2 linked regions of the Solanum lycopersicum genome follow. The protein of the gene in region 1 binds, or shares a complex with, the protein of each later gene. Links are inferred from orthologs where the notes say so. Each region holds a gene or a part of one and is shown in the gene's direction. Other genes may lie near its edges. The genes, in order: mitotic spindle checkpoint protein BUBR1 and mitotic spindle checkpoint protein MAD2.

The links.
Region 2: mitotic spindle checkpoint protein BUBR1 (region 1) and mitotic spindle checkpoint protein MAD2 share a complex: the UniProt entries of both Arabidopsis thaliana proteins name them as parts of the mitotic checkpoint complex. The link is inferred for Solanum lycopersicum from reciprocal best matches to the Arabidopsis thaliana genes BUBR1 and MAD2.

The regions. Positions count from the first base shown.
Region 1 is NC_090803.1:68,274,534-68,291,284, reverse strand, and holds mitotic spindle checkpoint protein BUBR1, read left to right. Parts: upstream 1-9,007; 5' UTR 9,008-9,198; coding exon 9,199-9,398; intron 9,399-9,573; coding exon 9,574-9,633; intron 9,634-9,756; coding exon 9,757-9,901; intron 9,902-9,995; coding exon 9,996-10,153; intron 10,154-11,904; coding exon 11,905-11,986; intron 11,987-12,059; coding exon 12,060-12,126; intron 12,127-12,197; coding exon 12,198-12,252; intron 12,253-12,598; coding exon 12,599-12,767; intron 12,768-12,863; coding exon 12,864-12,952; intron 12,953-13,113; coding exon 13,114-13,194; intron 13,195-13,264; coding exon 13,265-13,328; 3' UTR 13,329-13,635; downstream 13,636-16,751. Other genes in the region: chlorophyll a-b binding protein 7, chloroplastic, read right to left, coding at 3,436-3,528, 4,260-4,392, 5,004-5,150, 5,293-5,459, 5,525-5,638; bZIP transcription factor 60, read left to right, coding at 14,674-15,056, 15,982-16,205, 16,421-16,668. UniProt on the Arabidopsis thaliana protein: Essential component of the mitotic checkpoint. Required for normal mitosis progression. The mitotic checkpoint delays anaphase until all chromosomes are properly attached to the mitotic spindle.
Region 2 is NC_090804.1:8,531,634-8,548,176, reverse strand, and holds mitotic spindle checkpoint protein MAD2, read left to right. Parts: upstream 1-7,859; 5' UTR 7,860-8,041; coding exon 8,042-8,130; intron 8,131-8,585; coding exon 8,586-8,716; intron 8,717-8,809; coding exon 8,810-8,930; intron 8,931-9,130; coding exon 9,131-9,234; intron 9,235-9,337; coding exon 9,338-9,459; intron 9,460-9,544; coding exon 9,545-9,604; 3' UTR 9,605-9,804; downstream 9,805-16,543. UniProt on the Arabidopsis thaliana protein: Required for the execution of the mitotic checkpoint which monitors the process of kinetochore-spindle attachment and delays the onset of anaphase when this process is not complete.

The DNA.
Region 1 (16,751 bases):
ATATTCATTATAAAGGACTGACTATCAAAACTAAAGACATCAGGAGACACATAATGTTTAAGAGTGAAAAGGGCATTCAAGGGTAAAGAATGTGGTTGTGGTGGTTGTGAATTTGAAACAGTTGAGGATGGTACATTGTGAACATAGTCAGTCAAGTATGTAGGAGTCTTATGTAGCCTTTGGGATCTTCTAAGCTGTGGTATGGATGTGGAATTTTCAGGTGTGATATGAGTAGGTGAAGTGGAATTTTCAGGTGTGATATGAGTAGGTGATGTGGTTGTTTCTTTACTGGAGTAATCTTGATCATCATATGATGTTGGATAATCATGAAGGGACACACAATGGAAAGGAAATTTTGGGAAGTGAGTAGGGTCTTTAGACATGGCAAAAGGAAATATAGTTTCATGGAAAATAACATCCCTTGAGACATGGATTTTCTGAGTGGATAGGTTCAAGACTTTGTAACCCTTTGTAGCATAAGGATATCCAACAAACACATGTGGTATGGTTTTGGGATCAAACTTAGTTCTGTGAACTTTTGGAGTAGTAGGATAACATAAACATCCAAAACTCTTTAGGTGAGAGTAGATAGGTTTGTGTTTATATAAAATTTCATATGGAGTTTTATTGTGGAGAGGAAAAGAAGGTAGTCTATTTATAAGATATGTGGAAGCAAGTTACATTCACTCCAATATTTCACTGGGAGTTTAGACTGAAAAAGTAGAGCCCTTGCTGTTTCAAGAATAAATTTGTGCTTTCTTTCGACCACACCATTTTGTTGAGGAGTATAGGGGCAGGATTTCTGATGGATGATCCCTTTGGATTGAAAAAATAGAGTGGTTTCATTGCTAGTGAATTCCAAACCATTATCTAATCTGATGGTTTTAACAGTGGTGCTGAACTGGTTCTCAACCATGAGTATAAAGGCTTTAAGGACATGGAAAGCATTGCTTTTACAGCTTAGAAGTTGTGTCCAGGTAGATTTACTAAAGTCATCTACTAAGGTAATGAAATACTTGAAGTTATCATGAGTTGTTGTTTGATATGGACCCCAGATGTCAACATGTAATAGTTCAAAAATGCCAGTAGTGGTGTGTGTTTTTGGTGGAAAGGGTAATCTGGATTGTCTTGCCATGGGACATATAGGACAGAAGAAAGGTTGTCATGATGAGAATTTTGCTGGTATGGAAGATATATTTTTCATCTTCACAAAGGGTACATGACCAAGTCTATAATGCCACAACAGATCCACACTATCATTAGGAAAGGAACTAGAAATAAAAGAGTTGTTAGCAACATTGTCTTTATTACCAACAAGAGAAGAGTTTATTTCATCTGAATGAGAGTTACAAGAAAGAGATGTACATTGTACTTTATTACTGGATAAAGAGTAAAGGGAAGAGGAATAATGTTGAGCATGTGAATTCTTTTGTAAGCAATCTGAGCAGAGGAAATAAAGGCCATCATGCATCTTACCAATTTCCAGAGGCCTCTTCAGTGAAGGGGCCTGCAACAGACAAGAAGTGTTAGAAAAAGAGACAGTGCATTGAAGATGGTTTACAAGAGAGTTGATGGAGATTAAATTGTATTTGAATGAGGGGGCATACAATACTCCTGACAAGATGATTTTAGGTGTAAGATGTACACTACCAACCACTGTGATTTTGACTCTATATCCATTTGGTAATTTGACTAACATAGGATAAGGTAGATTTACTGGATTTACAAGGTTATTTTTGTTAAAAGTCATGTGATGAGAGGCTCCTGAGTCCAGAATCCATAGGTCAGTCCTTGTTTTGAAACATTCACATGAAAGTTTGATATAATCAAGAGAAAAAGAGCAAGCAAAACCACCTGCAAAGTTCACAGATCCACACACTCCATCATTTTGAAACTGATTCAGCAAGTGAGAAACTTGATCATATTGCTCCTTGGTGATACTGATGTTCTCATTTCCTTGAGGGTCATTACAAGATGTTGAACTTGATTCCTTTGTTTGTCCACTAGTATCTCCATCACAGGATAGTCTTACAGAGTTTGCTGATGTACCTCTTCCTTTATTGTTATGCCTTGGATTTGGATATGTGTTTTGAACTGTGTTCCTTGGATTATGCTGATCACGAGCAGAGCCATTTGTGTCATTAGATGGATAGCCATGCAACTTGTAACACTTTGCTCTAACATGTCCTGGTCTTCTACAATAGTCACAGAAAGGTCTTCCTCTTGGTGTTGTGTTGGAGGTAGAATAGTTTGTTTGAAAACTTCTACCTCCTGAACTTGATGAAACTGCAGCTAGAGAACTACTCTCAGTAAACAGTTGATTATTTGGTTTAAATTCTCGTTGTTTTTCCTCCTGCACTAGTAAGGCAAAAGCTTGTGCCAAGGATGGCAAGGGATTCATCATCAAGATACTTCCCCTAATTGTAGTATATACCACATTCAAGCCCATCAGAAATTGAATCAAACGTCTGTCTTGCTCTGCCTTCTGAACATTAGCTTTAGCTCCACATACACACACACAACTACACTGACTTGAAACACACAGACTGTTTAACTCCTCCCAAAGTTTCTTCATACGAGTGTAATATGTTGTGATATCGAGAATACCTTGATTAAGGTCATTTATCTCCTTCTGAGTTTGATACAATTTTGCTCCATTCGTCTGATCATATCGATCCTCCAGTTCTGTCCATAATTCCAAAGCATCATTAACATATTCAACACTATCAGTAATGTCTCGATCTAGAGAGTTGAGAATCCATGAAGTGACCATATCATCACATCTCACCCATTCACCTCTGGTCTCTTACACTCACCATTGATGAACACTAGCTTGTTCTTCACTGACAAGGAACGAAGTACACTACGACGCCATGAATGAAAACCAGTGCCATTGAAAGGAACTGGTACAAGTACTGCTCCAGGATTGTCTGAGGGATGAATGTAAAAGTGACTCCCTGCATCAATCCCAGATGAAGGAACACTGTCTAATGCAGTGCTCGTAGATGCAGAATTTGTCATTGTATTTTGAAAAACAAAAATCGAGTTTACAGAGGATCTGATGCGCAGATTGAAGAAGAAAAGAGGTAAGAAAATCAGGAACGTTCCTGCTCTAATACCATGTCAAATTGAAGAGAGCTGCAAAACCTCCATGGATGAAAGCTTGATTAAAGAGGAAGAAGAAGAGGCATTGAAAATGTGTGAACAATTTTCATTCAGTTGTGTAACAGAAAATGTGAGCAGGCTGTGGTTATATAACCACCAAAAACAGAAGCTAACCAAAACAGAAAACTATAACTAACTTCCTGAAAAGCTAAACTAACTAATTGAATTAACAACTAATTAATTACATTAACAGCTATGTGTAATGACTAATTTAACCTCAATAGAAATAATTACTGGAAGGATACACATAGAGCAAGTGTTTACACTCACCATCAAAAGGGCTTGGCAAATGGCTATGACAATGACTCCTTGACTTCCAGCTAAATGGAGTCCAGGGATCCCTAAATAGTCAAGTGTATCTCCCTTGAAAAAATGAAAGAAATATATAAGATTAAAAAAGGATACCTGCAATAAGCGCTGGATACTGAATTTATAAGGTCAATATGAGGTCAATAATCAAGTGGAACAACACTCTGATAAGAATATGAAATAGGTGGGTGATAGTGATACAAATTAATTATTGAAAGGAATAGCATGTTAAACACTAGATTCCAAGAATGAAATTTCATAAGAAAATTATATCAGAATTTAAAAATTGAAATTTTGAACGACAATTTTTGTAAAATCAATCCAAATTATGTTTACTCGAAAACCTGAGAACAAGGAAGCAACAACAACAAACCCAGTGTAATCCCACAAGTGGGGTCTTGGGAGGGTAGGAATTACACAGAACACAGCAGTGTTGAATAATAACTTTGCCAAGAAATAGAATTCTAGTGGATGTTTGGCTCATCATAAAACAAATCCATTTTGTACAAATAGTTGGAAGATATTAAGTTACTTTGGAGTATGTTACTATAGTTATTTATCTTCCTTGTAGCATTATCAACTCATCCGATCTCACCTACTTGCACATTCGACATGAGTTGTTTGGGTCGACAGACAAGGTTCCGCTGAGTCGATAACTGGAGAGGCGAGATTGGAGGAAAGAACAAGCATGGGAGTTTTTGGACTCGTATTATCAATAGCTAAGGGAAGCAGCATCTATCAACCAAGGGAAGTCAAGTTACAACGCATATATGAAAGATACCAACCTTAAGCTTTGAGTAGCCCACTCGCCACCAAACAGGTTCCACAAACTGGAAAAGTCCTGTCAGGTTTAAAAGTTCTGGAATCAAAGCACCAAGAGCAGCCAGCATAGCCCAACGACCATGCAATATTTCATAACTGTGAGTAACCATGACAACTGAAATAAGTTCGAATAGAATTTAACAGAGCTTCTACGTGGTTTCTGAACAAATAGTTTGTATGAGTGTGTGTTTGTTGCTATTTTGAGAATTTCAAAAGCTCCCCAAAAGATTACACAATGGGATCTCTGAACAACCACGCTAGAAGATGTTCAATCTCTCATTCCAAAAATGTCTGGGAGTAGAACAACTTTCATGTCTATGTGTGGCCCTAAACCCTGACCAGATATGAATTTTGCAACCCTTTGCTACTTCCCCTCAAATACCAATTTATAACTTTTTTTGGCTACATTTATGCTCAAGAAACATGTCTGCTTTTATTCCAACTAAAAGAGGATGGAATCATGTGAGTTGTGACCAATCACCTTAGGATCGTGGTTATTTCTCAGTAGGTTATCGTAGGCCCTCGCTCTGTTCATTTCTTTAGTGAGAGGCTCGTCTTTAAATGGATACATGTTCTGAAGAAGCATAAAAGGTCACAAATAATTTAATGGCATATGATGTTGCATTTTTTGGGAAAATACTATACATTATCTACTCAGAACAAAAGAACATTTGAAGGAGTTAATAAAAGCAAAATCCAATCCATACTTAAAGTAGTTTTGAAGGGCCACGGGATCCTTGCTCAACCCGCAGATATCAAATCCATAGTCCCCGGGTAGCTCCCCATTAAGATAAGCAGGATAGTCATAAGAAATTGGACCAAGCCAGCGGGGGCGATCTTCTCCATACCAGATACTGCAAAGAAGACAAACAAATGATAATAGTGAAAACAAAAGTGGGTATGCATAACAGTATAATATAGGAACATTTTCACAGTGGTGGAAAATAGATGGATGCATTACAGAGGAGAATGGCTTACCAAGAGATAGGGATTTACCTATCGTTTCTTGCCATTAGTGCAAGTGCTTTGAACTTAGCTGAATTCTCTACTGCAACCTTCTTTCTCTCTTCTAATCGTTTACGGAGTGTTTCACCGAAGGTACTGTTGGCGATAGCTTTGACAGCGGTGAAAGGAATCGCTGAGAATACCAGAACGCCGGCAAGCTGAATAGAATTGATTAGTTAAGTTAAGTGGTATTTGATGGCAATCAGAAGAAGCAAAAACACACCTCTTGCCATGAAGCCTTGTGACGCGAAAAGGGATCGAGTGCACTTGCATTGCGATACAACCTTTGGTCTTTAGGGACGGAGGACGATAGATGGGGAAGCTGAAGCAGTGTCATGACTCATGACCACTTGTACAATCTCCTTTGCCCATTTCTTCTTCAGATTCACTACTTTGCAACAAAAGTCATGACGTGGTTCCTTTCCAGCCTCAAAACCCAAAAGTAATCTCTTCTTCTAGCGCAATTACAAGAGATTCAACCAATCAAACGCAATTACAAGAGATTCAAATAGTTTTTAAATAAGGTTATTGAAGTCCAAAATTTTAAAATATACGACTCCTACTCATTTTCGTTTTAAGTTGAAAAATGTGATAGTAGTAAATTACCTTTAAAAGAAATTATAATTGAATGCCGAGAACTTTTCAAACAATCAAATCGTCTCACGTATGTGACTTTCATTTAACAAAAAAACTTGCACATTTGTTTGCCTTTCTCCGGGTGGATACAATATCAGCCTTGGTGGGGGTGATAATATATGCCCCTATGTGATGTGAGGAAACAAACTCCATTCCATATATTTATCGTTGAACACAAGTTATTCTAATCTCTAACGATAACTACTAGGCCTGAATCTCAAATAAAACCATCCAATACTCATCAACTGGACCCATATACCCTTAACAAGTGATATGCTTGAAAACAAGTTTGCTTCAATTGATTTTTGTATCTTACTATGACTAATGTCCAGAGCTTTATAATGAGAAGCTTGAATTTAACGTCGCTCAATATCTACTTGTTTTATTCGTCTGTATATATATGGACATGACATTTGAACTTACCTAACTAATGCTTCATAAAGCAGTGAAGATATAACTAATATAACAAACCTGAAAAGCAGATGGAGGGTTTTGTACTAGTAATTAACTGTAATCATTCTAAATTGGAGAGAAATACAGTAGACAAGTCCAAGTACAACAAGAGTGAAATCCTAATAATTAATTAATTAATGGTCATAGGTGCGGCACTCGTCGGCGTCAGGGTTATTTTGACAGTAAGGTTCAAGGGGATCTTGATTAAGCTGAAGCTTGATGCGCAAATGCACCTTAGCCTAGCTAACTTCTTCCACCTCATCCCATGCCACCTTGCACTCGTCCGATCTGGCGTCTTCACTGCATACCTCCTTAGCTTCCTTCACTTTCTTCTCTATCATTTCCGTCAGCTGTTTTTCTCTCATCTGCGTCCCCTTATACTTTGGTACTCCTGCTGATCCACTCATCATCATCATCACCTTTTGCACTCCTTTCCTCCTGGATCCAGTTACACTAGCAACATGAATTGGGAATATAGATGCCTGCTTCAAGTTCAAAGCCATCACAATTATTTATTATAGATGACTTTTTTCGGATGTCTGTTGATTTCTGGTGGAAAAAAAAATGTACAGATTTCTTGTGAAATTATAACGAACAATATAATCTCATATCTCTATCACAATCAGGGCATCATTTAGTACTGCTCAACTAACATAAAACGACATCGTCTGGTATTTCTCGGTTTGGAGATAAGGTTCCATCTTCAGCTTGGGGCCCATGGGAACAGTTCTTCCACCTTTGCCTTTTTCTCTTCTCCTCTCCTCTCCTGGGTGGACTTTCAGTTTTATCAAATTTTGCTTTGATTTTTTTAGTTTTTAGTTTTTACAAAAACGTGCATCTATTTCAAATCAATTCTTTTACATGTTCTAAAAAATTAATTAATTTTTATATAATCTTACAAAATGAGCAAATTGTTATTTATACACGTGTGTTATAGAGATGGCAATGGGATTGGATGTGTGTGCCGAGGGGTATGTTTATGGCTATGTTTATGGTTTTAAGGTTGTGTGGTGCGGTTAGATGTGGAGCTGATTGAAGTAGGCTTTTTAAAAATTAATGTGGAGTGGGACGGGTTGCAAGTATATGTAATTTTATGTGAATTCAAACTTATTTTTAGTTTTTACATGTTATAAGAGTGATAGAACATTATTTATTAAGATAATTTCTTTTAAGCTACTAAAATATTTAAAATAATAAATAAAAATGGTTTAATAAAAATAATAAAATTTCTTACCAATTTCCCAGTTGACCTCTTAAAAATAATTTTTAGGCCAACTACATAAACAAATCCCTAAACTTGTTGGGTTTTTCCCCTCATGTACCTCAACTACGTCATTTTTCAATTGAATCATTCAACCACCCATAATTTGTTTCTTTAAAACACTGTTGGTTGATTTTGATCAGCTTTTCTATTGTAAATGTCTTCAATTGTGTTCGAATTGTAATAATTTTGATTGAAGGAATGAAGACTAACTGTGTTAGTCTCATTTGTTTTCTAATGTGTTCAAATGACTCAAGTAAAACATAATTATTCTCAAACATTTTCACTTTCAATTGGACTAATTATTTGTGGAACAACATATGTATCCTCTATCAATACCCCTCACAAATCTGATTTCACATCAGACAACAGTGTTTGATTAAACAGAACAAATTATGGGAGTTCAATTATTCAATAGGAAAATGACGTAGTTAAGGTACCTGAGGAAAAAAACCTAACAAGTTTAGGGATCTGCTTCTGTATTTGGCCTAAATTTTAAATTACTATCCTATTAAATTAATACAACTTAATGAAAAGATAAATTTATTTTTATGAATTTTATCTTAGTATCAAATATAATTAGAAAAAGAAAATATTAAAAAAATTATGGGAGGCAGGTTGAAAATGAAAAGAGTTGTCATGCAGGGCGCGGCGAGGCGCGGCAGATTAAAATTTTTGCGGGTTAAGCTCAACCCGCAACACCCCACCCTACACCACCGCATTGCCATCTCTAATGTATTTTTAATAACTTAATCTTTGTATTTTTTAAAAAATAAATGTTTGAAATTATAAATTTGTATTATTTTTATAATTAACCACTAGTCAATAAATAATATTGATTAATTATTATTTTAACGAAAAAGACTCATAAATATTCATAAACTATCTGAAATAACTCATATTTACGTTTAAACTATATTTCAGTTCAAAACTATCCTTCCCATAATACTATTGGGTCAAAAATATATTTCTTATTAACGGAATTTGTTAAATGTCATGTGGATGTCACATTCCATGTCAATTTGGTTCTACTGCCACATAGAATAAATGGAAAAGGGGTAAAAAATACCCTTAAACTATTCGAAATAGCTCATATTTATCCTTAAACTATATTTCGGCTCAAAACTATCATTCCCGTCAAACTATTAGATTAAAAATATCTTCTTATTGATGAAAATTGTTAAATATTATGTGAATATCAGATTGATTGCAAATAAGATTTCATTGTCACATAAACTAAATCTCTAAATTTGAATTAAATTGAATTAAATATTTTACTAATAGGTCATATTATTAATTTCCGGGTAAATTCCAACGGTCTAAATTCGATGTACTTGGCCCACTTTGTTGTTTGTAGTAGCGCACTCGTTAAAAAACATTACTTATCTTATATTCAATCATGGTGGGACCAATAATATTGCGAAAATCTGGAATTTAAAGGAGGGTCCAACGGCTATGAAAGGAAGGGTTTAGGGCACAAAACAATTTCAAATTTGAAAGAAGGCTCTCAAAAAAACACCACCACAAGGAAGCAGCAAGAAGAAGAAATGGAGAAGGTAGGAGGAGATTACGTATTGGATAAGGAGGCAGAGTTCTTAGCGTCGAAGCAAGAGACTGGTCACGAGTGGGAACTCTTCAAGGAAAATGTCAGACCTTTGAAGAGAGGACGCAACGTTAATCTTCTCAATAATGCTCTTAAGTCTAGTACCGATTATCAACTCAAGAAATCTCTTCTTGACAAACGAAGGTTCCTCTATTTCTTCTTCTTTGCATTTTCATGACATTTACTCCTGAGGTTGGTCCAAAATGCAATTACTATTCCATCCCGCACTAGATTTTGATTAAGATGTACACGCTAGTTGTAGAATAGTAGCAGTTGCTGCATCCCTTATTAATTTTTGAATTCAACTCTTTCTGATTAGGGAATTTATTGAAGCAATTGACAAGTACAAAGGTGAAGATCCTCTTCACCCATGGCTCCAGTGAGTGCTCTTCTTTTCAGATGCAAATAATTTTTCAACTCTTATATCTTCTACTAGCATTTAATGAGTCAATCTCTGTTATTGAATAAACTGCTGACATAATTTTACATTAAAATTGTGAAGGTGCATCAAGTGGGTGCAAGAGGCTTTCCCTCCCGGTGGGGACAGTTCTGGACTTATAGTTATTTATGAACAATGTGTCCGCACCTTTTGGCACGATGAACTATATAAGAATGACCTCCGTTACTTGAAAGTGTGGCTGGAATATGTGAGTTTGATTTCTCCACATCCATTCTTTTGCCCCTAAATCTTCTCATCATGCAATTTGGTAAATCAGTTTTCTTATTGATGGCTCTTTGCAGGCTGAAAATTGTATGGATGCTGAAGTCATTTATAGCTTTCTGGAGGCTAACAAAATTGGACTGACACATTCTTCATTCTACATAGCCTATGCTTTGCACATGGAATCTCAAAATAAAATTAAAACAGCAAACGAGATCTTCAATCGGGGGCTATCTATGTAAGTTGTGTTTCCATTGAGCCTTGGTTTAATTTTAGCCGTAAAGTTAGGTTCTTGCATAGTTAACATTGTGTTTCACTTCACACTAGGCAAGTGAACACGTCTTGGTTCCAGAGAAGTTATGCTATATGTTGTCTATGATGTGAGATGCATCATTCAAATGGTTTATTGAATTGCTGTCTGATATTTTTGTTCAAATAGCGTTTGATATGTCAAGTCTAATGATGTCTACGAAAGTTGCATTAATTGTATGCTAGTATTGAGTAATGTGTGGGGGCTGGGGGGGGGGGGGGGAGGGGATTTATGTTTGAAGCTTCGCCAAAATGAGTTCAGTGTTAAGTATGAAGCTGCACGGATAAGTATGTGGTGTCCCCTTCATATTGACCTACTAATTTTCATACCTTGAATACTAAGACAATTTCATTTGATAAGCTCAGAGGTCAGAACTGTGGTAGATTACATTGCTTACGGTCCCTTATTTTATGTTCTTTCAATATATGCTCATGTGACCGAATAATAAACTAAAGGCCGTGATCGTATGACAGTGGTATGCTTCTAGAAAACTTTATAATTATTAATTGCCATATGATGAACATATTTGATATCCTTATTAAGGAAATTTTGTATAAGCCGAGTAATATGATTATGAAGAACTACATGTATCTTTTTGAATTATGAAATGATTGGTTCCTTTATAGGCATCAATTGAATCAGATAGTACCATGTCACACAATTATGTTAAGCATTTGTACAGGATGAACAACAGAGACGTTATCATTGAGAAATTTGTGCTCTGGAATTAATCATTTATTTAGCTAATATAGATATTTCAGGTATGGCAGCATGCAAAATAGCCAGTGCCACTGTTCATTGAACTTTGCTTAATTACACAACCTAATCATGTTGTTTGTAACTTGTATAGCATGATTTTCTACTAAGAGCATTTCATGCCTTCAAAACAGCAAGTCTCTGTATGTGTTTCTAATAAAATGCTCTAGCTATCAACTGTTGACATAAGAATATATTGAAATATTTATTTCTTGTTCACATTTGCCTCATTCTTGAGGGACCTTTTATATTCTCTCTCTACTTGTTTTAACTTCTGATGGGGATGTGAATGCTATGATGCTGGCCAAACTTGCTGGCAGAATAATGCTACAGCAAGGTGAAAATTCTAATATATTTGGCATGATATTATTGTGGATGCTCAATTGGTTTTAGATATTACCTGACACCTAAATACCTTTGGGGGTAGTTTGGTTGTTGGATAGAGTTGTGCAGGTATTAGTTATGTAGGGTTCAATTATTTACGTATTACTAATTCATGTATTAGTTATACCATCTTCAAAGCTGCATAAAATAATACATAGATTGACGCCTAACTAGTACATGTTTTAGTTATGTGAGATTGTAAACCGTAAGCAAAAAACCATACTTGATGTGCTGAGTTTTATACATAGCAACTAAAATGCTGCCAAAAATGGTACTAGTTTATGCAGATTTTAATATATGAATAATCTAACCAACAACTAAACGACCCCTTGGGCTGCCTCAACAAGATTGTGGATGCTCTTTTTTCAAGCTTTCTTAGCCACTAATGAGTCTTTTCCATTAGAGATACAGTTAATACAAGTACAGAACACTGATTACACCAAGTAACCTTCCTCCTGCTTGTTCTCATCCACTTATAAGCCTATTTACTGACTCCCTCAGCTGGTTTATGATTAAAATTTCCGTCTCCTATGAATCAGGAATGCAGAACCTGAAGAGAAATTGAAAGTATCCTACAAGAAGTTTTTCAGTCGTTCAATGGGTCGCCCCAAAGCAGCAGAGGTATCAATTATTGTGACGACTTAAGTCCATTGTCGTTTGCTTTGATTTGAATTTGTGACGATTTGTATTTCAGGAGGAGATAACAGAACACCAGCTTCCAATGAGAAGCTTTGGCACACTGTTGGCTAGGGGGGAAGCTCGTAAGTGCATTTCTATGTCGTAGCTTCAGGGTGTCTGCTTGCTTTGGTTAACATTGTTTTTGCCTTTGCAGGAAACCAAACAACAGGAACTTCTGAATTGTCCCGGAAGAAAATGAAACCAGATAGGTAAGTGTGAGTCACTATTGTTTTCTCCCAAGTTACGTTCTTGTGTCCCTGCATTTTTCATAGTAACACCATGAGTTAAACAAATCTATGTCGTTATTACTTGTTCTTATCATCACATAGTTAAGCTGCTATGTCAGGCAAGAGATCTGATTCTGATGAGTTCTTGTTTTAAATACCTTAAATCCTTTGCAATGTGGAAAAGAACTTTTTGTTGTTATTGCTGCCTATTCCATAACTTGAAGGAAAAGGAGTGTAAGGATGCTGATAACAAGGTTGCAGGAAATACTTACCTTTTTGCATGCCCAGTTCTAGTAGAAACACTGGCTCATTTTTATCTATTTTGCAGAGCTCAGGGGAGCCTATTTTCCATTTACAAAGATGCAAATGCCGGAATGTCATCAACTCTTCAATCAGAAATACCAAAGCTAGAGAATACATCATGGCACTGTCTTGGTGCCCGAGCAGATAGGAACAAGGAGAATCAGGCAATCCCTTCAAAGTGGACATCTAATAAGGTCCGTTTGAGTCCAGAGAGTTCAAAATAGAATATTTGATTTTTTGTCCAAACAGATAGGAACAAGAAAACTCATTAACAAAAATATTTCTTACAGATTCCTCAAAGACACGGGCTTAGAAATCGAGGAGCTACTACTACCACCACTCCGTGCCTAGAGATCTTTGTGGATGAGGAATGTGCCAAGTGAGTACCCATATAGATACAATGGTTTTTTGAGTGCGAACAACACATAGTTAACACTTAACAGTGTGTGTACATGCATCAAGACAAGGAGATTTTCAGCTATTGTAATAGTGTTAGTTTGTGGATTGACTTTCTTTGTTGCCCCCCTTCATCTTTGGCAGAGCACAGGAGAAGGACTCTGCTGCTGGTGTAAAGGCTTCTAGTCTGCAGCTTAGACGAGGAGATGACAAAGACATAAAAAAGTAAGTATCAAGTTTGTTTCTTCACTTCAATAAAAAGAAAGCACCTTTTTGACAATGCACTTGTATGCAGGGAGACTGAGTTGCTGAGGGAGAATCCCCTGCGTTATTTTCCACCAAGCTCATTACCAAGATGATCGATCTCACAGAAGAAAGTCATCATTGTGTGCTGGGGTTTCTCATCTCAGAGTTACTCAACTTGTATCTTAAAAGTGTATGGAGACAATTCCTCTTTGCCCAGTGCAAGCACCGTTACAGATGTTCTAAATATATCGAGTGGAGTTGAGGAGACATTGTTGTATGTTTGGTTTTGGCAGGCTTGAGCCAAATCCTCCAGTATTTTGTTATTTAGATGGAATGATTTTATATGATTGCAACAGTTATTGATGTAGTATACAATTGCGCTTTCTCGTAATTAGCTCTTGGTTAAAGAGTTCTGCTTCACATTGGTTTTCTTATTTTGTTTATGATGATTAATTTTGTTGTTAATAATCCCCATCCAACAATTTTAAAGGGTGTGTACACCGTGAATTATTTCCTGGTATCGAAAGAGTTATTTACTACTTGAGCTATGGACTTCAAAATCCTGCCTTTAAAACCTTGTCATTTAATCAGACACTCCTTTTTTTTAAAAAAATAAAATTCTTTTTTATATCAAGGCAAATATTAACTGAACCACGGAAGAACTGTGTATAATTTAAGAATCTTAAATAGTACTTGTTAGTTTTAAGGAATGATTTCTTTTTCTCGAAAGAAAATCAAGATTCTCCTAAGTTGTTAATACTTCCTCGGTTTCTTTTATATATTATTCTTTTTTATAAATAGTTGTTCCATACTTATCATTTCATAAAATTAGTGCACCTTGTTTATAGCCTTGAAAATATATATTTCATCAACTTAGAAAAATTAAATAAATAATTCATGTTTTCATTCATTAAATTAATTAATCAAAATAAATTAATTCGTATTCATTGATTGAAAACTTAAATTCTAAAAATTAAATAAAATAAAAGGGTAAAATTATATCATTTCTTAATGTAAATTTAAAATAAAAATGTGACATATAAAAAAGAAATCGAAGAAAATACTATTTATTTATCATTTTTTTTTATAGAAACGAAAATGTGGCATGTTTTTAAAATTTATATTAATATTTTTATATATATAGAAAAGGAGGGAGGTGTGGTTTTCTTTTACCTTTTATTTTTTTTTTTTAAAAAAAAAGAAAAAGAAAAAAAGGTATTGTTTTCTTTTAATGGGAAAAGGGATGTAGTAATTAGTGAGGTGAGTTGTAGCGAAGTGGAATTCTTATTGGGTGGGTGACGAAGTAATTAAAAACTTGGAATTTCGTTGAAAGTGTTTGGAGCCTTAACCTCTAAGACACCTAACGTGATTATTAAATTGGGGACATCCAGAGATCGGGTCCCAAAATAGTGAGTCGGACCCTAGTTTCTTCACCCCACAATCTCCGTCGAACTGGCGATGATCGATAACATCGATGATATCATCAACTGGGACGATGTAGATCACATCTTCCACAACGTTCTAGACAATCCCGACGATGATCAATTCACTCTTCATGATTCCTCCCCACAGTCATTCCAGCAGATCGAGCAGCTTCTTATGAACGATGACGATTTCGGTCTTGTCTCTGATCCTCAGTTTGCTGCCGAATCTCTTTCTGACTTCCTCGTCGATTCTCCTCTTCACTCCGATCATTCTCACTCTCCTGCTGAACAAGCCATTGGATTCTCCGATCCCAAGGTTTCAAGTGCCGATCAGGACAAACACAAGGTTTCCCAGTCGCCTTCTGACGGCGACGACGAACTAAACAACCATGACCCCGTCGATAAGAAGCGCAAGAGGTATCTCTCTAGAGTTTTGCCCCTTTTTTCTTTCTAGTTTATTTATTCAATTTGTTTATAATTCTAGCACTTCTCTTAGTTTATTTATTCAATTTGTTTATAATTCTAGTACTTCTCTTAGTTTATTTATTCAATTTGTTTATAATTCTAGTACTTCTCTTTGCTTATAACTCTTCTGCACACACGATTTACACTACTGTGGCTTCTTTTACTTCTCGTGTTGTATCTCTTCTTTGAAAATGGTTGACCTACTAGCAGAAACAAATCCTAGTTTTGATATCTTAGTTAGTGTAACTCATGTTTATTAAATTTGCTTCATGTAAATTATCAATGACCAGAAAAATCTTTGCAGTTCCTGTGTATGCAAAAACCATATCCACATAGTGCCTTCTCAGCCAAATCGCGAATCAGTATTTCCAAGGAGTTCCTTTCTATAAGATTGCCTTAATTTGACATCACACATTGACTGTATGAGCCATTCATTTCATGATTTGATTTGTGACGTGTTAGAACATAATGTTCATTCTCTATTGATTATGAAACAAAAATATGATTCTCTTTTCCGAAGACATACAGATTTTATCAAAGCACATGATGCTGCAACTTTTCCATTAGTTTGCAATCATGAACACACCCCCAAGTGGGAAACTTTCCTGAATAGCAAACTACTTCTAGACTTCTTAGAATAAGAAGCCATGTCCTTGAAAGATTGCACTTATTTAATGTGTGATGGATATATTATTATGTAATGTGCGCATTTATCATGCTTAAAATTGCATAACATCTTGTGCATTTATCTAGAGTAGTTTAATACACCCCTCTCCTCTTCTATTTCAAAATGGTGAGAGGATTGTACTTATCTAATCTGTATGTATATAGCAGCTTAAAGAAAATCTCAGTCACAAACTTAATTTTTGTTCTCCAGGCAATTGAGGAATAGAGATGCAGCTGTGAGGTCACGAGAGAGGAAGAAGTTGTACGTTAGGGATCTTGAGTTGAAGAGTAGATACTTTGAATCAGAATGCAAAAGGCTGGGGTTTGTTCTCCAGTGCTGTCTTGCTGAAAATCAAGCTTTACGCTTTTCTTTGCATAATAGCAGTGCTAATGGTGTTTCTATGACCAAGCAGGAGTCTGCCGTGCTCTTTTTGGGTAAGTGCATAAGAAACATTCTTGTCATCTGTGGCTAAAATACTTTCTTTATACCACTTTTTGCTCTGCTACAATTTTCTGGACTTTGCTTTAGTTGGCGTTTGAAGCAAGAAATAGATGTGAATGTCTTGACATTTTTCCATCTTGCCATGGTTATGTTGGATAGATATTTTCTCTCAAATGCCTACATTAATAGATGCAATATGAATTTGCAGAATCCCTGCTGTTGGGTTCCCTGCTTTGGTTCCTGGGCATCACATGCCTGCTCATTCTACCCAGCCAAACCTGGTCAGTTCCAGAAGAAAGTCAGGGAAGCAGAAACCACGGGCTTCTGGTTCCAATAAAGGAGGGAAAAAAGACTAGTCGGATTTTGTTGTTCCTGTCCTTCATGATGAGCAAAAGATGCAAAGCTTCAAGATCGAGGATGAAGCTCAACCCCCATCCCTTGGGAGTTGTGATGTGACTCGTTGTGATCAAATCTTTTCCCATAGGTGGATCATGGTTCCTTTTGAGTTCTTTAGTTTTTTATCAGAGATTCTCTTGTAT
Region 2 (16,543 bases), on another chromosome or scaffold:
GAAAGGTATTCACAATAGATAGACTTAGGGTTCACCATATAGGTAACATAGGTGGTTATCCATCCAACTCGACCTATTTTAAACGAAACTTACATAAATATCACTAGTTTATGAATTAACTATTTAGATATACTCTAATTTGTTGTATTACATATCTTGTCGGATTTTGGTGTCTATAAATTATATATCTTGATATTATGTATTTCGGATGTATGTGATCAAAATTACGTGTAATTTGATTCAGATGGAGTAGATTCTATCCAAATGGATTCACATGTATCTGTGATACATAACAAAATCTCGCTCGCATCTCTCCCATATCGCTCGCTACTCTCCCATGTATCTGCCATTCCAGATACATAGAATCACACCAATTATAGAATAATAAATTCTTTATTATTTTATTTGTTAAACGTTGGAAATGTTAAAAGTGCCCCAAAGCATGTTGTACTCTTTGTAAATGTCCCTAACATCTATAGCAATATTGAATACAAACATTTAACTAATACCAATAAAGAGTTTAACACTCTACTCTTTATGAATGTGTTATGTGTGTGTATATATATGCTGCCACTAAAAGTTGTTTTGTTTGTAGTATCAATAAGTTAGTAAAATGAGGAAACAAATGAGCACATTGTGTCAACATTTTCTTTAAAGTACTCCCTCCGTGCAACAATAGTTCATTATTCTATTTTGGGATGTCCAACAATATTGTTCACTTCATAAAATCAAAAGATAATTTTACACTCCTACTTCATTCAAATTTAATTGTCTTTAATTATAATCATTTCTCAATTATATTTTCATTCAAATTTATCTTTATCTTTAATTATAATCATTTTTCTATTATAATTTTTAAAATATTATATTTATTATATTTAAAAAATAATATAATAAAATTACCTTTTTATTTATAATTTCTTAAAAGCGTTAAAATAATAATAATAGACCACTATTGATGGACAAAAGAGTATATTTCAAAGGAGAAGATGAATACCACAAATGACATAGACCAAAAAAGAGATACACAATTTAATTTATGACAGAATGAGTAGGAAATCTATTTTTTCTTAGAGGACCACCACCTAATGGACTCTGTCTGTTCACTTCTATTTATTATATTTATTAAAAAATAATAATTGAAATGATTATTTTACTATACTATTTTTATTAATTAATATTTGGTGTTAAATCTTGAAAGAATGATTTGAAAAATAAACAATTAATAGTAAGGATAAAATATGGGAAAATGTTTTTTCTTCATAAGTTAAAAGCGACAAGTAAAAATGAGAATAAGTAAAAGTAAATGGAGAAAGTAAAATTTATAGCGGGTAACGTCAGCCCAAACAAAATTTCAAATTCCAAAATACGGCACAAGACACTCTTATGTTTCTTATGAATGCGTTGTTAATTATATATCAATTTATGCTAGTTTCCTCTCGTACACCCTCAACTTTATAAATAGGTCCGTCTATGCTCACAACGAAGTGCCCTTTGATAACGATTGAACAAGTCATTACCAAACCTCATATAATGAGTTTAATTAAGCTAGAAATAGGAAAAGCCCAAGTATAACCTAAAATTGAAATATAATTGGCCAACTTTCACATATAGCAAATAAAAAATTCATATTTGTACGTTATAACAAAGTTTGCATAATTGCGCTCCACAGCAAACATAAAAATACATATACAATTGAAGCAAATTGCATAAAACGAAGTGTATAAAACAAGAAAGAGAAAGACACTTGAGCAGAAAACTGTATAAAAACGAAGTGTATAAAATGAATTGTATTATTATAAGTGTATAGAACGATTATATACAATTTGAATTTGTATAAAATGAGAAAGAGAGAAAGACAAAAGAGACTTGACAAGGAATATACAATTGAATCGAATTGTATAAAACGAGAAAGAGAGAAATTAGATACAATTTGAAAATTGTATAGAACGAGAAAGAGAGAAAGGCAAAAAAAACTTGGCAGGGGAGTATTCTTATTGTATAATTATAAGTGTATTAGGACGAAAATATATGTACTTGCATGTGTATATACAATTTTCTCACGCTTTATACAAACAGAAACGCAATTTATACATTTCGCTTCTGTTTGTATAAGTGAGAAAGACGAGGGTGGCGAGCGAAATCTGGAAGAGTGGAGAGAGGGGATTAAAAATATATGTATTTATACAATTTTCTCTGCTTTATACAATTAGAAACAACTTTTATACACTTGTGTTTGTATAAAAAGTGAGAAAGCGAGCGAGAGATTAGAGGAGAGTGGCGAGTGAGATATTTGGGAGAGAGGCGTTTGCTATGGAGCACAATTAAATCAATCCCTAACTACTCTATTTATTTTACGTTATTAGTTTGTTATTATATGCCCTTTTTTTCAATATAGTTGGTGCCTTTTAGCTAAAAATAGGAAGAGCCCAATTTGTAGGTCTTGTTATAGGCTTAGAATATTATCGAATATTTATTCATATGCTATTATTTATACAACTCAATCTATTATAAATTAAAGGAAAAATGATAAAAAAAAAAAAAAAAGAGAAATACTCCTAAACTATACAAGTCAAAATAAATTTACCTATCGTTACGTTTTCCGATCGAAAGTATCCTCAATATTATGATTTTTAGTTTAAAAATATCCTCTAACTATTCAAATGAACCAAAAATATCTTTCTTTTCGACTTTATTCCAAAATAACGAAAAATGAACCAATTTACGCTAGGGTAGTTTTGCTCTCTCTGAATCTGAATGATACATTTTCTTCGTGACTCTTAAGAATAATATGATAAAAAAAAATTTAAAATTATGCATGCCTTGACACGTTTTATTACTTATTTTGATTTTACCACACCAAATTTCAATTAAGGGCCAACATAATAGCTTTGAAAAGAAACAATAAAATAAAAGGTTCAATTAAAAAATTCATATTGATAATTGAACTTTATTTTTTATAAAATTGTAATTTAAAATAATTAAATGAATCTCATAATATTCAAAATTAACATTGACTATACATTATGATACATTCAAAAAATTGAATATAGCTTATCTATACATGAGTTATACACTGACTATACGTTATGATACACTCAAAAAATTAAATATAATTTAAATGTACACGAAGTATGCATTGAATATACGTAAAATGTACACTGATTATTCAATTTCGATCAGTTCAAAATCTCCTCTAAACAATCTCAAGTTTTAGATATGAAATTATCTCAATATTTTAAATCTTTTGATATATGATTTGTTCGAAAGAATTTATATTTATGGTATATTAAATTTTAAAGGAAGAGGAGGAGGAAGAAGGACAATCAGCAGAAAAAGAAGGAAAGAAGAACAGAGGAAAGACAACAACCAAAAATATCGCTATTGTTGAATGATCATTTTAGGTAACTATAAAAATGGGCTAAAAAATGAAAAGTAAAGCTTATGGCCTGTCGTTTGACATTTCACATGATATATTAAGAAAATATTTATCAACTTAAGCAATAATATCTTTTTTACTGGATATTTATAATATAAATTTAAGATATTTTATATTGAATAATTTATAAAACACATATAATACAAGTTTTATTCATTTATCATTTATCACATTGTAAAATTAGGTCTTAGACCTAACTCACACCCTAAAAGTTAGCTCAAAGGGAGGAGGATTGCCTAAGCCTTAATAAGGAGTCCACTCATCTCGTTAACCACCGATATGAGACTTTTGTCATTCTGTAACATCCCATCTCACGCCCAATGCTTAGCATCTGGTGCGTGGACAATTTTGATTTTGGGGGTCCCAACATCGGGTGAGTAACTCACACCCCAAAAGCTAGCTCAAAGGGAGCAGGATTGCCCAAACCTTATAAGGAGTCCACTCATCTCATTAACCACCGATGTGAGACTTTTGTCATTCTTTAACCCTTATAATACATTATTTCAATTTCTTGCCAAACAGGTATTATATATTTCAAATACTTATAGCACATTTATATTTGCATGCAGAATTCACTTTGAATACATGCAACAATTATCATAGCATTGTTATAATTGGTAATAAATAAAAAGTATCTCTAAAATCAGTAATTATTTATTAAACGGAAAATGACTTAAAATATCCTCATCTATTCAAATTGGTACAAAACTAGTCTCCTTCCACCTTTTGGCCCCCGAATACCCTTAATGCCAATCTTTTGTCTCAAAAGGTTGAACGGATGACAATTTTATATCAATTCAAATAGTTGAGGAACATTTTAGGTCATACTCATTTATGAAAAAGTACTTTTCCTATAATAATAAGATCAATTTTTACGTATATTGTATGTTATACCTATAGTTAACATAATTGCGCTTCATAACAAATTTTATATTTGTTATGCATCCTTTGATTTGTACAATTCGCTAGACACTTCCAATTTATATATTAATTTGTCCAGTTTTGTATAAACTCATTTATACAATTGGATAATTTGTATATAAAATGTTTCCTGTAATTTGTATATGTACGTGTTCTTTGGATAAGTGTATACGTGAAATCAATATGCAAATCTCTCTCTCGCTTTTTATTTGACACAAATTATACAGTGTAATTAGTATATTTATAAATCCAGAAAGAGAGAAAGACAAAAGAGAACTGGACAATGGAAGATATGTATTTGTACAAGTATAAGTGTATAAGACAAAAATATATATATTTGTGTAACTATATATATACTTTTCTCTTATTTTATACAAACAAAACACATTTCATACATTTGTATACCGAATGAATAGTTGTATACCAAAAACAGATAATTATATACTGAACCCGATGGCAAAAAAATGAGATGTTTGCTACGAATTACAAATAAAATAAACTATGACTATAACATTTAATTTAAACTAATAATTTTTTTATTTTATATAATTTTCCCTAATAATAATAATAACAAATCACCAATTACAATTGGACCCGATTGCGGCCCAATTTTTGCACTAAGTAGTGGGAAATTTAATATCAATTCAAATAGTTTGAGAAACATTTTAGGTCGTAATCCTTTATGATTTTTTTTTCTATAATAATATAATAACAAATCACCCGACCCAGTTGTTGCCCAAACTTTTGCACTAAGCTCATTTTAGTAGAAAATTTTATATCAATTCAAATAGTTAAGAAAAATTTTAGATTGTACTCGTTTATGAAAAAATTATTTTTTTTATAATAACAAATCACCCATTACAGTTGGACCCAATTGTGGCCCAACTAAGCCCATCTCAGTGGGAAATTTATATCAATTCAGATAGTTGAGGAACATTTTAGGTCGTACTCGTTTATGAAATAAAAACTTATTCCTATAATAATATAGGGGAAGATTGTATGGGATGACAAACATCCCTAAGTAATTATATAATAAGGGAAAGTTTAATTTATTTACTTTCTATAATTATAATTTTTTTATTTTTTTGCCATAATTAATGAGACCCATCACCTTTTTTTATACTAACCGTAAAAAATCTTTTTTGATTTTGTATATAAATTTATACAAATCAATTTTATCTCTCCTATTTCTACTCCACCTCTTTCTCCTATAATCACTCATTCACTCCGATTTTGAAATTCAAATCGGCAAAAATTTCACCTACTCGCTACGGTATTGATTTCATCTTTCACAGGTAACCGCCAAAATTTAGCCGTGAATCAATTTTTATTTTATTTTTTCCTTCTTCAACAATTGTATATATATTGTGCTTCTTAATTTTTTTTATTTTTTTTGTTAAAATAATCGTTCTTTCTCATTAGATTATAAATTCTTCAAAATCAGAATAGATGAATCATCTTCATTTATGAGGACTACCAAATGTATGTCATTGCATGTCAATTTTGTTGACAAATTACTCTCGTTTTTAATGAATTTAACTCAAGATTTTGGGGTCTATCCATATAAGTTCAAGATGAGCAATCAATGGAAGAATTGAGATCCAAGAAAAAAAATGACTCAATGGTAGTTCAAAAAGTTATTAACAACGTCATAGCTAGCGGCATTAAAATTGTCAAAGGAGGAACAAAGAGGAAAGCAATAACCAGTGATTCACAGGAGAGTGAATCTGAAATTGACAGATTCGAAGAACATCAGGATCAGGAGGTAGTGTCTTAAAACACAATTTTAATCAATCAAGATATCTAATAATTCTAATAGTAATCAATCGCGAACATCTTCATCAGATCTTCTTGATTGCATAAAATAATTTTGTATGTAGCAATTTGTATATTTTGATGGTTACATACAAAATTGCTTGAGGTATATGTAAATTTTTTTATGTATTAACAAATCTAAAGAATATCAGGTAATTGTATAAAATAAATTTGTATATAGCGATTTGTATATTTTGGTAGTTATATACAATTTTTTTGAGGTATACGTATATTTATATATATATATATATATATATATATATATATATAAGTACTATATTTATATACATATAATCCTATACATATAGAGTTTATATTTTGATAGTTATATACAAAAAAATATTTGAGGTATAATATGTATATTTCTGTATATTTAAGTACTATATTAATGTACACATAATTATATACATATAGAGTTTATAGTTATATACAACCATATACATATAGAGTTTATAGTTATATACAACCATAAATAGTTCTTATTTATACAAATAGTTTATATGTGTAACGTATATAATTGAAAATATTAATTAATTGTATAAATATTCGATTTACATATTGACATATACTTTTTATCGTTTTCATAGGGATTTATTTTCATTTGCAAATAACCACGAAAATACGCCCCCCACATGCAGTGGTATACATATACAACTCATACATATAACATTACTCGATTTTTTTAACCAACAATTAGAATAGAATTGTTAATATACAATTTGTTTATATTTTTATGACCAAATATAACTACTTGCAATTTTAAAAATTTCAATTATATACTATGCAAATCAATCTTATTCTTTTTCACACTTTAAAACATGAAGTTTTCTTAAAAGAAAAATATACAAGAATATTGACGAACCATGAATTTTTCATTTTATATTTGCTTTTGTGGTACGAGGATAACAATTGTTATGATGTTTGTATTGTTATAGAACTCTTTTTGAAAAAATATTTGATTTGAAAGATTAACTTGAATCATGGGATTATGCAAGTATTTTGTTACCTTATTACCGTTCATGTATCCATTTATTAAGTAGAATATTACATAAATTATGAAAAATTGCACAAGTACCCTCCTATACTATGTCTGAAATCACAGAGAAACACCTTAACTAAATAAGGTCCTATTACCTCCACCCCCTCCCCTTACACTTATTTTTTGTAACTTTGTGCACCTTTTTAGCTTACGTGACATTCAAATATCTCGTACGTGTCTCAATCGCGTGGAGCCACGAAGTGTGCCACATAAGACAAAAAGTGCTCAAAATTACAAAAAAAAAAGTTCAGGGGTAATAGGAAGTTAATTTAATTAAGGTGTGTCTCTAGAATTCCAGTTATAGTCTGGGGATACTTATGCATTTTCCTCATAAATTATAAACAAAAAAAACTTAATATGCAAATTAAATGCTCCATAGCAAACTAAATTATACTCGTAAAATATAATTATATAAGACAAAAAGTGCTCAAAATTACAAAAAAAAAAGTTCAGGGATAATAGGAAGTTAATTTAGTTAAGGTGTGTCTCTAGAATTTCAGTTATAGTCTGGGGATACTTATGTATTTTCCTTATAAATTATAAACAAAAAAAACTTAATATGCAAATTAAATGCTCCATAGCAAACTAAATTATACTCATAAGATATAATTATATAAACTATACTTATATAAGTTATAAATTTTCAGTGTGGCCCAATTTTTGCACTAAACCCATCTGACCGTTGTTTTGTGTCATTTCCAAAAACTAGCCGTTGCTTCTTCCACTATGTTTCTCAATTCTCATAAAAACCCTAAATTCATCTCTGATTCTCTCACAAGCAATCAATCTCCATAACCATTTTTCTACTTCTATTTCCTAATCTGAAAATGGCGTCAAGAACAGCCTCCAAAGACATAATCACACTTCGTGGTTCCGCCGCAATCGTCAGTGAATATTTTGGCTATGCTGCAAACAGGTAACAACTCGGAATTCCTGTTTTTTTCATATCAAATTTTGGTTATGTAGACTTGCACGTTGTTCACATAGTGATCGGATCTCAGATTTAGATAGATTTCACAAAACCCCTAAATTTGCTTTGAAAATTAATTATCAACCTGAAATTCAGCCCAATGAAATTGGGTTTGAGCAGATTAGTAATGAAATTGGATTGAATAGATTTCATCAATCGATACGTTGTTGATTTTCCGATTGATTGAATAAAATGCTTTGTGTTCTTCGTTTATTTACCTGCATTGGACTAAAATGGGCTACAATAGAGCGGATGAATTGATTTATCTGACTGATTCCAATTAGTTTTACGTTGGCCATCGGCCATTGTTGATTGATTAATTCCTTTTATGTTCGTTGTTTATGGTTTTGTCTGAATGCTGATTTTTTTTTTTTGAATTTGTGCGGGGATTATGTATTTAGCATTTTGTACAACAGAGGAGTATATCCTGAAGAAAGTTTTAAGAAAGTGAAGAAATATGGTCTCACAATGTTGCTTACTGAAGATGAAGGTGTCAAGACCTTTGTTTCCAACTTGACTGCCCAACTTGCTGGTAAGTTGTAGAATTTTGACGAGGCTGTAGATTGGTTCAGATCATATATTAGGTAGTGAAATGATTGTTTTCTTAACGATTTTGTTCATGTAGAGTGGTTGGAAACTGGAAAGCTACAAAGGGTGGTTCTTGTCATCATGAGTAAGGCCTCTGGTGAGGTATTAGAAAGGTGGAATTTCAGTATCGAAACTGATAGTGAGGTTGTCCAGAAAGGGTAAGATGTTAATCATCTTTGGTTAATAATTGTGGATTGAAAGAAGTGTATGTTGGAGTTATTATGGCAGAAGACCTATAATTTCGTTCGTGTGCTTAAATAGTCCAGAGCCAAATACTCAACCCTGGCTTGCTTTTGATGTCTTCGTATGTTGGATTGTTTGTTAAATAATTAGCTAAATGGTTTATTTGATTTTCCAGTGTTTCAAGAGAGAAAAGTGATAAAGAAATAATGAGGGAAATTCAAGCGATTATGAGGCAAATAGCGTCCAGCATCACTTATTTGCCGTGCCTTGAGGAACCATGTAAGCATCATTTGTGCTTGGATGTTACGATACAATGGCAATGTTGCTTTTTTGGGATGTTTCTTGATGAGATTTCTTGTTTCATTTGTGTGTATGGCTGTAGGTGTGTTTGATGTGTTAGCATACACTGATATGGATGTTGCAGTTCCATTCACTTGGATTGAGAGTGACCCTAAACTGATTGCGAATCCACAAATGGTGAAACTGCACTCTTTTGACACTAAGGTAGGAGCAATTTGCTGCTTGATTCTGATACGAATCCCCTGGATATTTCGGTGACCCTAACTCGAGTTTTGTTTTCTCTATGCAGATTCATAAGGTTGACACATTGGTTTCATATAAGAATGATGATGAATGGGATGAGTCCTAGACCATGGATCCTTGTTGTACCTTACTTTTGTTGTCATTGTGAATCATTGATTCACATTTTGTATGTTAGATTGTGTAAACCTTGAAACATCTATTAGTTTGTATCCTGAATGAGTATTGAAGGAAATTGAACAATTAGATCAATTTCTCCGTGTGAACATGTTTTTTGCCTTGTGAAATATATTTGGGTACTTTTTTACACGTCCTTGTTGTCTACACATTGCCATAGCACATAATAATGTTGTTTGCGTCGGCTTGGATTTATACGCAACTCAAATTATGTTGAAATTTTGGTTTTTTTCTTTCTTCCGTCTCCCCCAACTACGCAGGCAATTTCTTGAACGGAGAAAATAAATACTTTTTTTGACTTTTGAAATTTGCCTTCAACATTCTCTAAAAAAGAGAGGTAACGGGGGAAGAAGATCAGTGTGCCTTTTTTATTCTTACATACAAAGTTATCATGCCGTTAAAAATAAATAATCAATTAATGTCATGATCTTTTTGTCGAAGTTAACGGATTGCACATAAATTATAGTGTTTTTAGTCTAATAAAATAAGAAAGTAATAAAAAAATTTGGATCCTCATGAATCGGGAAATTTGAACCCGACGTGAATCGAACACGCAACCTTCTGATCTGGAGTCAGACGCGCTACCATTGCGCCACGGATCCTTGGATGGCTAAAGTCTTCCATTTTTGATAGTCATTACATCTCTGTATTATTTTGGGAAGTGGATGAAATAATAACAATAAGAAGAAGAAGAAGAAGAAATAAATCTTTGATGTTATTTTTTTAGTTTTATTTCTGAAATATTTATTATCAGCACAATTGTTTTTTCTTTAAGGATATTTATGATTTGGTTTCAGTCAGTTTTCGTTAAAAGTTAAAATATAAAAACAAACAAATTTAATAAAATTTTAAATTAATAATATCAAAGTAAATATATATAATTTGCATTCATCAATTAGTTATTATTGGTTCAATTTTTCAATGTAATTTTATTAAACATGATATGCATCGTTTTTAATTTTCCCTATAAGAAAAGACCTTTAATCATTTGCTAATTTATAATTTGGTATTAACATTTAATTAGGATGACTATAACATTAAATCTCTACGATTTATAAATTTTATAGTATTTTTTTTGAATTAAATTGATAAGAAATACGAAAATATATATCTAGGTACATCTCACAATAGTTTAATTTTGAATAAATGAGTTTGCATTCGAGTTTATATAAAGTTTATTAACCTTTTAAAGATAAATAATTTTTTCATCAAAAAATATGTGAAATATTTAAATTTATTTTAAAAGGTCATTTAGAGCTGTCTAAGATAGACACTAGCTTAGTGAACCCACTTTAGCTCACTCAGGTCCCGTATCTTGACAAATATTACACCAACTTTTTAGTTTGACAATATATTGAACTTCATGTAGTGGCTCATATGATTTATGTTGATTTTAGTATTTGCATACTTCAGATAAATTTTTTTGATAAATTTTTTTCCAGTTATTGCATGACTTTGTACTTATATTTTTCAAATCAATATTGTTTTATTTGAAAAAAGAAAAATTATTTATTTTTTCAGATTTTCAACTTTTTAAAGTCACCACTTTATTTTTTGAGAAAAATCAAGAAAACTATATTTTCAAAAGAAATAAACAGAAAAATCATTTTGAAAACTTTAAAGGAGTTCGGGAATTCTTATTAGGAAGATTTTGAAAGCATCTAAGACGTTCGCTTACTTGCAGTTATCCAACAACTAATTCATTTGGCCAAACAAATAACTAATTTGATTTTTGAGGTAACGAAAAATACTTTAGAATTGTTTGAAAAGTGAAGCACTACTGTGACCAATTAACTTGTAAAAATTTATTTCAAAGTTATTTTATTCGATTGGTTAAGTTGTTAAAACCGAAGCGGCGTTTTGCAAGGATTTGGATTCGTCAATCCTAAAACTAACAACAATTAATAAACAAGTAGTAAAGTGAGAGAGAAAAAAAGAGAGAGGGAGATAGGGTCGGGTCCAAAGCCAACTTTTGTTCGCCTGGACCGATATTTGGACCCATTTGTTTTTGCTTTAGGCTTTGGGCCTATTTGATTTGTACATGTCCTAAACTACTAAGATAATAATGTACAAAGGGTTTAGGCGCAAAAATAATTAAATACACTAAGTTCATGCCACTTTTTCAAATCTCCGACTTCTTGGCCTGTTTAGAATTTTTGCGACTTAGGACCTATTCACCGATTTCGGATTTTTTTCTTTGAACTTTCTAGCCGGCAAACTCGATAAAGGAAGTTGAACCTTAAATGCAAGAGGAATGGAGTCAGAGGTAGATTTCACATGCAAAAAAATACAAACGCATAAGCAATATTCATAGCAATTCTTTAAGAAAAAAACAAGATTAAAAAAAATTGTAGTATTACGACACCTTCAGGACAAGAAACTCAAAAAAAGTAAAAAAAAAAAAAGGGTTAGAAATAAAGGGGAAGTAACGACACACCAAACGTACAATTTTAATAAATTACTGTCGATCCCAAAATGATAAAACAAACATCAATAAGCAATTCTCCTCTTTCCAAATGACCTCAAAGGATATTTTAATCTAACATCAAGCCGAAGATATATTAATTGAACCGACCAAAGAAGTTCAAACTTCGCATTGAAAATTACCACGTCTTGACAGTGAAAACGAGGAGAAAACTTTACAGACCATACAAAAACTTGGGGATCCCACATTTTCTAACGAGAAACAAGAAGCTTAACACCTAGAAAACTTGAAACTCAATTGTAGTTAGATACAAATATACTTGGACCATAAAAGTTACAGAGATGAACACAAAGATATATTATAAGGACACTTAATAAACTACCCACACAATGTGACCTAAACATACTATGTTAATGGGTCTAATATGTCTGCACTAAATAAGATCCGGAAATAACGAGCACGCTGCTGAACCGAAACTGAAATTGGAAGCTAGATTCACATGAAATCTACCTAGGACCACAAGTCACAAATATGTTTTCTGCCACAAAGATGCAAGCCGACTGAATCTTGACATCTAAGGAGACGAAACAAATTTTAACTAGCGTTTAATTGCAATAAGAATCAAACACTTGAAGCATGAGAGATGTCTTTCACAAAGATATAACTATAAATGGAGACGAAATAAATTTTAACTAGAGTTTTATTGCAATAAGAATCAAATACTTGAAGCATGAGAGATGCCTTTTACAAAGATATAACTATACATCAAAAGGCAGTGGGCACTAGAAGCAAATAACAACAAATGGAATAATAAAACTTACTTAGAGCAAATAACAACAAATGGAATATCAAAACTTTCGCAGTGAGCTTCTTGAGAGGATTTTGTACTTGGGTAAAATTACATGGCATTAGGGGAGGGGGCCTAAGATAAAGGGTTATAAGTAACCAAATGAAGAAGAGACAAGTAACATCATGCTTCTTAGAACTTCCTAAAGAAAGATCAATTACAATCCAAACAAACAGGGCTTAACAAAATAAACGAAGTAGCAAAATAAAACATTTATAGACATATTAAGGAGCAAAGCATATCACATATAGAGGCAAATATGTGTCAGCAACACTTAACACCAAGAGCGTAGAACTAGATAGGCCGTAACACCATAAACTTGGAAAACAAGTAGTTGCATCAAACAAATAATAGATAACATGACATGTAGTTCCCGTATTAATCCGCTTCCAATGCTTTTACCTTATTCCCAAGTGTGAACAATATTAACAGCAGGAAAATATAACGACATAAGAAGTAATAAAGCTTTTAGTCTTAAAGCCGATAATATACGAGAAAAGAGAAATCACCACAAAATCAAAACCAAGAAACGAAAGGAACCACCACTCTAAGATGTATAGCAATCCAAAAACTATCCAATCTTCTTCTTCTTCTTCTTTTTTTAACAAATAGCAGAGGAGCGACGATCCTATAATAACTCTTCCGGCATTCAATAACATTATCTTTTAGATAGAAGAGAAGGCATTACTTTATTTTAACGCAACGAAACGGAGAAAATAACAAAAAACAACATCTCAGATAAATAGCTTTCGAAATCGACTTGATGAATATATTTATCACATTGAAACAACACCAACTTAATAGTAACCCTCAACGAAACTAAAAAAACTTTTCAGTCATTTAGAGATAAACGAAAAGATAGGAAGACGACATACCTCTTCCGGGGCAGCAAACGAGCAAGAGGAGGCAGCGGGTTCCTTCCAACAGCACACACAAACTTTTGAGAGCTCCGCCGAGCAGCTAGAATGTCTCAAAAGAAGAAAGTGGGGCCTAAATACCCTCACTTATTTTGAAATCTATCTCTATTAAAGAAAACCCCCAAGTTCTTCTCTCAGACGCTTGTTTTCCGCCTTCCATCCCCTCCTTGGGATTTTTTAGGGTCGGGGTCAAAATGTTGATAAACCGGATAAGAACTAAAACCCAACAATTTCAAATTCCTAGCTTGAACAAGAGAATATACCAAATTGCGTCTATCGTCATATCCCTTTCTGATGCGTGTACGCGTGCTGCTCTTGTCGCAAGCGATTGACGCCTTCTCTTGCCGTTTTCTGGATTCCCGCTGGTGATGAGGGAAGAGGTCTTGGGTCGGATCATCTGCTTATGCTGAATTGTCAAGTGGGAGTTTCTGGAAAATTTTGGATTGGAATGTTCTGTAACATTGAACATTTACATTGAATTTGGTAAAACAAAATGGCAGAATAGAATCGAATTGAGTTGATTAACAAATTCGGCTAAAATTTAGATAAATTGAACTCACCAACAAGACAAAATAATTAACTCAAGCAAAAACTAAACACTCAAAAATATAAACTATTAAATTCCCCGAAATTTATTTTAACCAAAGTAAGACTAAAAACTAAAAGTCTCCTTGAGACGATTTTTGAATATTTTATAAAATATACTAATTATATACGTAATTACGTAAACTATATATATATATATATATATTATGAAAAAGCGCTAAGATCAAATAAAAATAATTTGAAAACTATTTTCTTTTTTTATAAAACTTAATTATTTCAAGTAATTTAGAATTAAGAAGCTCGTTAACTAACTCCTATCGGGAATGGTCAAAATTTGGTGTCAACAAATATATATCAACTTCATGTTATTTTATTTAGTCGTTGCATCAGCATATTTTACAAATTCAGTGTGTTCAAATGTCATGTTTATTATGTATATTTTTCATGCTCGCTACATTCAAAATACTGACCACATAATTCTTCCTCATTGTGTTAGAATATAAGTTCAGGCACTCAAAATTATGCCCGCGGTTAGCGCAGATCCAATCAATGTTGCAATTGCTAGTAGGTGAATTTTCATATTCCGAGGACAATCTTATCATTTATTTCAGTATTTACTTTGAGTTTCAAATATTAATACTTAGCTAGGAGTTTGTCATAGTAACTCATTTAGTAGAGATTTTGTAAATTCAACTTATGTCTTAAACTAGATATTTGTCGTTTAATAGACTACTTCATTTTTGCACTTCCTTATTTTCGGTCATTATGTTATCTTAGTCTCATGCCATGTTATAATGTTAGCTTGAATCACTTATAGATTAACTTTAAGCACGGTGTCAAGTCTAGGGGATAATCTTGGGGCCTGACAATGTTGAAATAATATTTACTGTATAAATTCATATTTGAAATTTGAAATAATATATCGATCTAAACATTAAAAAATGAAAATTATAAAGTAAATCTAAAATATATTTAACAAAACCGATTATAATTAATCCTTTTTATGCATAAAAGAATTAAACTATTATTTATTATGTTGATTTGGATTCGATCTGACTTTTCTTTTTCATTAATACAAAACCAAATCAAGAATTTGATTTTTTTTTGTCTACGTCAAACAAACCAAACCAAATCATAAATTGGTTTCTATCTTTGATTTGTCAATTTGATTTGACATGTACACCCCTAATTTTTATTTTTTTTTTGCATATGAGAACCTCTAGATATTTTATAAATTAAAGCTACAGATTTTGATCTTATTGGCATACATTTAATTTAAACAAAAATGGTACTTAAAATATAGAATTAGTGGCTTGGAGTATAATTAGAGAAGAAAGTTGTAAACCATAAATATGTAGTGAATGATTGACAAATGTAATAAATTCTTCATTGAATAGTAACAAACCAATAAAATGAAAAGTAACCATTGAATTGTTTTCCCCAAAATAAGAGAAGACTTGTGAAAAAAAAATGCAAATTTAAGAAGAAAAAAAAAAGTAGCTAGGAATGGAAGTATTTAGGTCTGAGGGTCTCTCTTGGGCTGATCAATGGGATCCTGAATCTCCTGCTCCTCCACATAAGGATGACAAGAAGAAAAGCAAAAATGCTTCCAAAAACAAGTTTCTCAAATGGTTTAAGAGCCTTGGCAAGAAATCTAAAAATAAACAACAAGAATATGAACAACAATATTAATTAAGACAGGTTCCATAATTGTATATGGCACATGAATATGCACATTCTATATATTATGTATATGCATATCTCATATCCCTAGGTTATGTGTTAATTAATCAATATGCTTGTCATATGCCATATGTCATGAGGAATAAGTGCACATGATTATCATCATGTTTGTATTGAAATTACTAAGTCATAATATATGTTTGTTAACTTTTCAAGGTTTTTTTTTATTGTTTGTTAAAGTACCAGTACAATTTTTATATTTAGAATTTTTATTCTATATATTTTGAGGATATTGGGTTCAATTAAGCCCCAAGATCAAAAGCTTGCTTTGTTTGCCTTTGGATATGGTTGATTGATGTAAAATGTATGAGCTTTAAATAATAAAATCTTGAATATGTTGTCTTAAATTAAGAGTGGAAGTTAATTTACGAATTATGATGAAATATTTTGTTA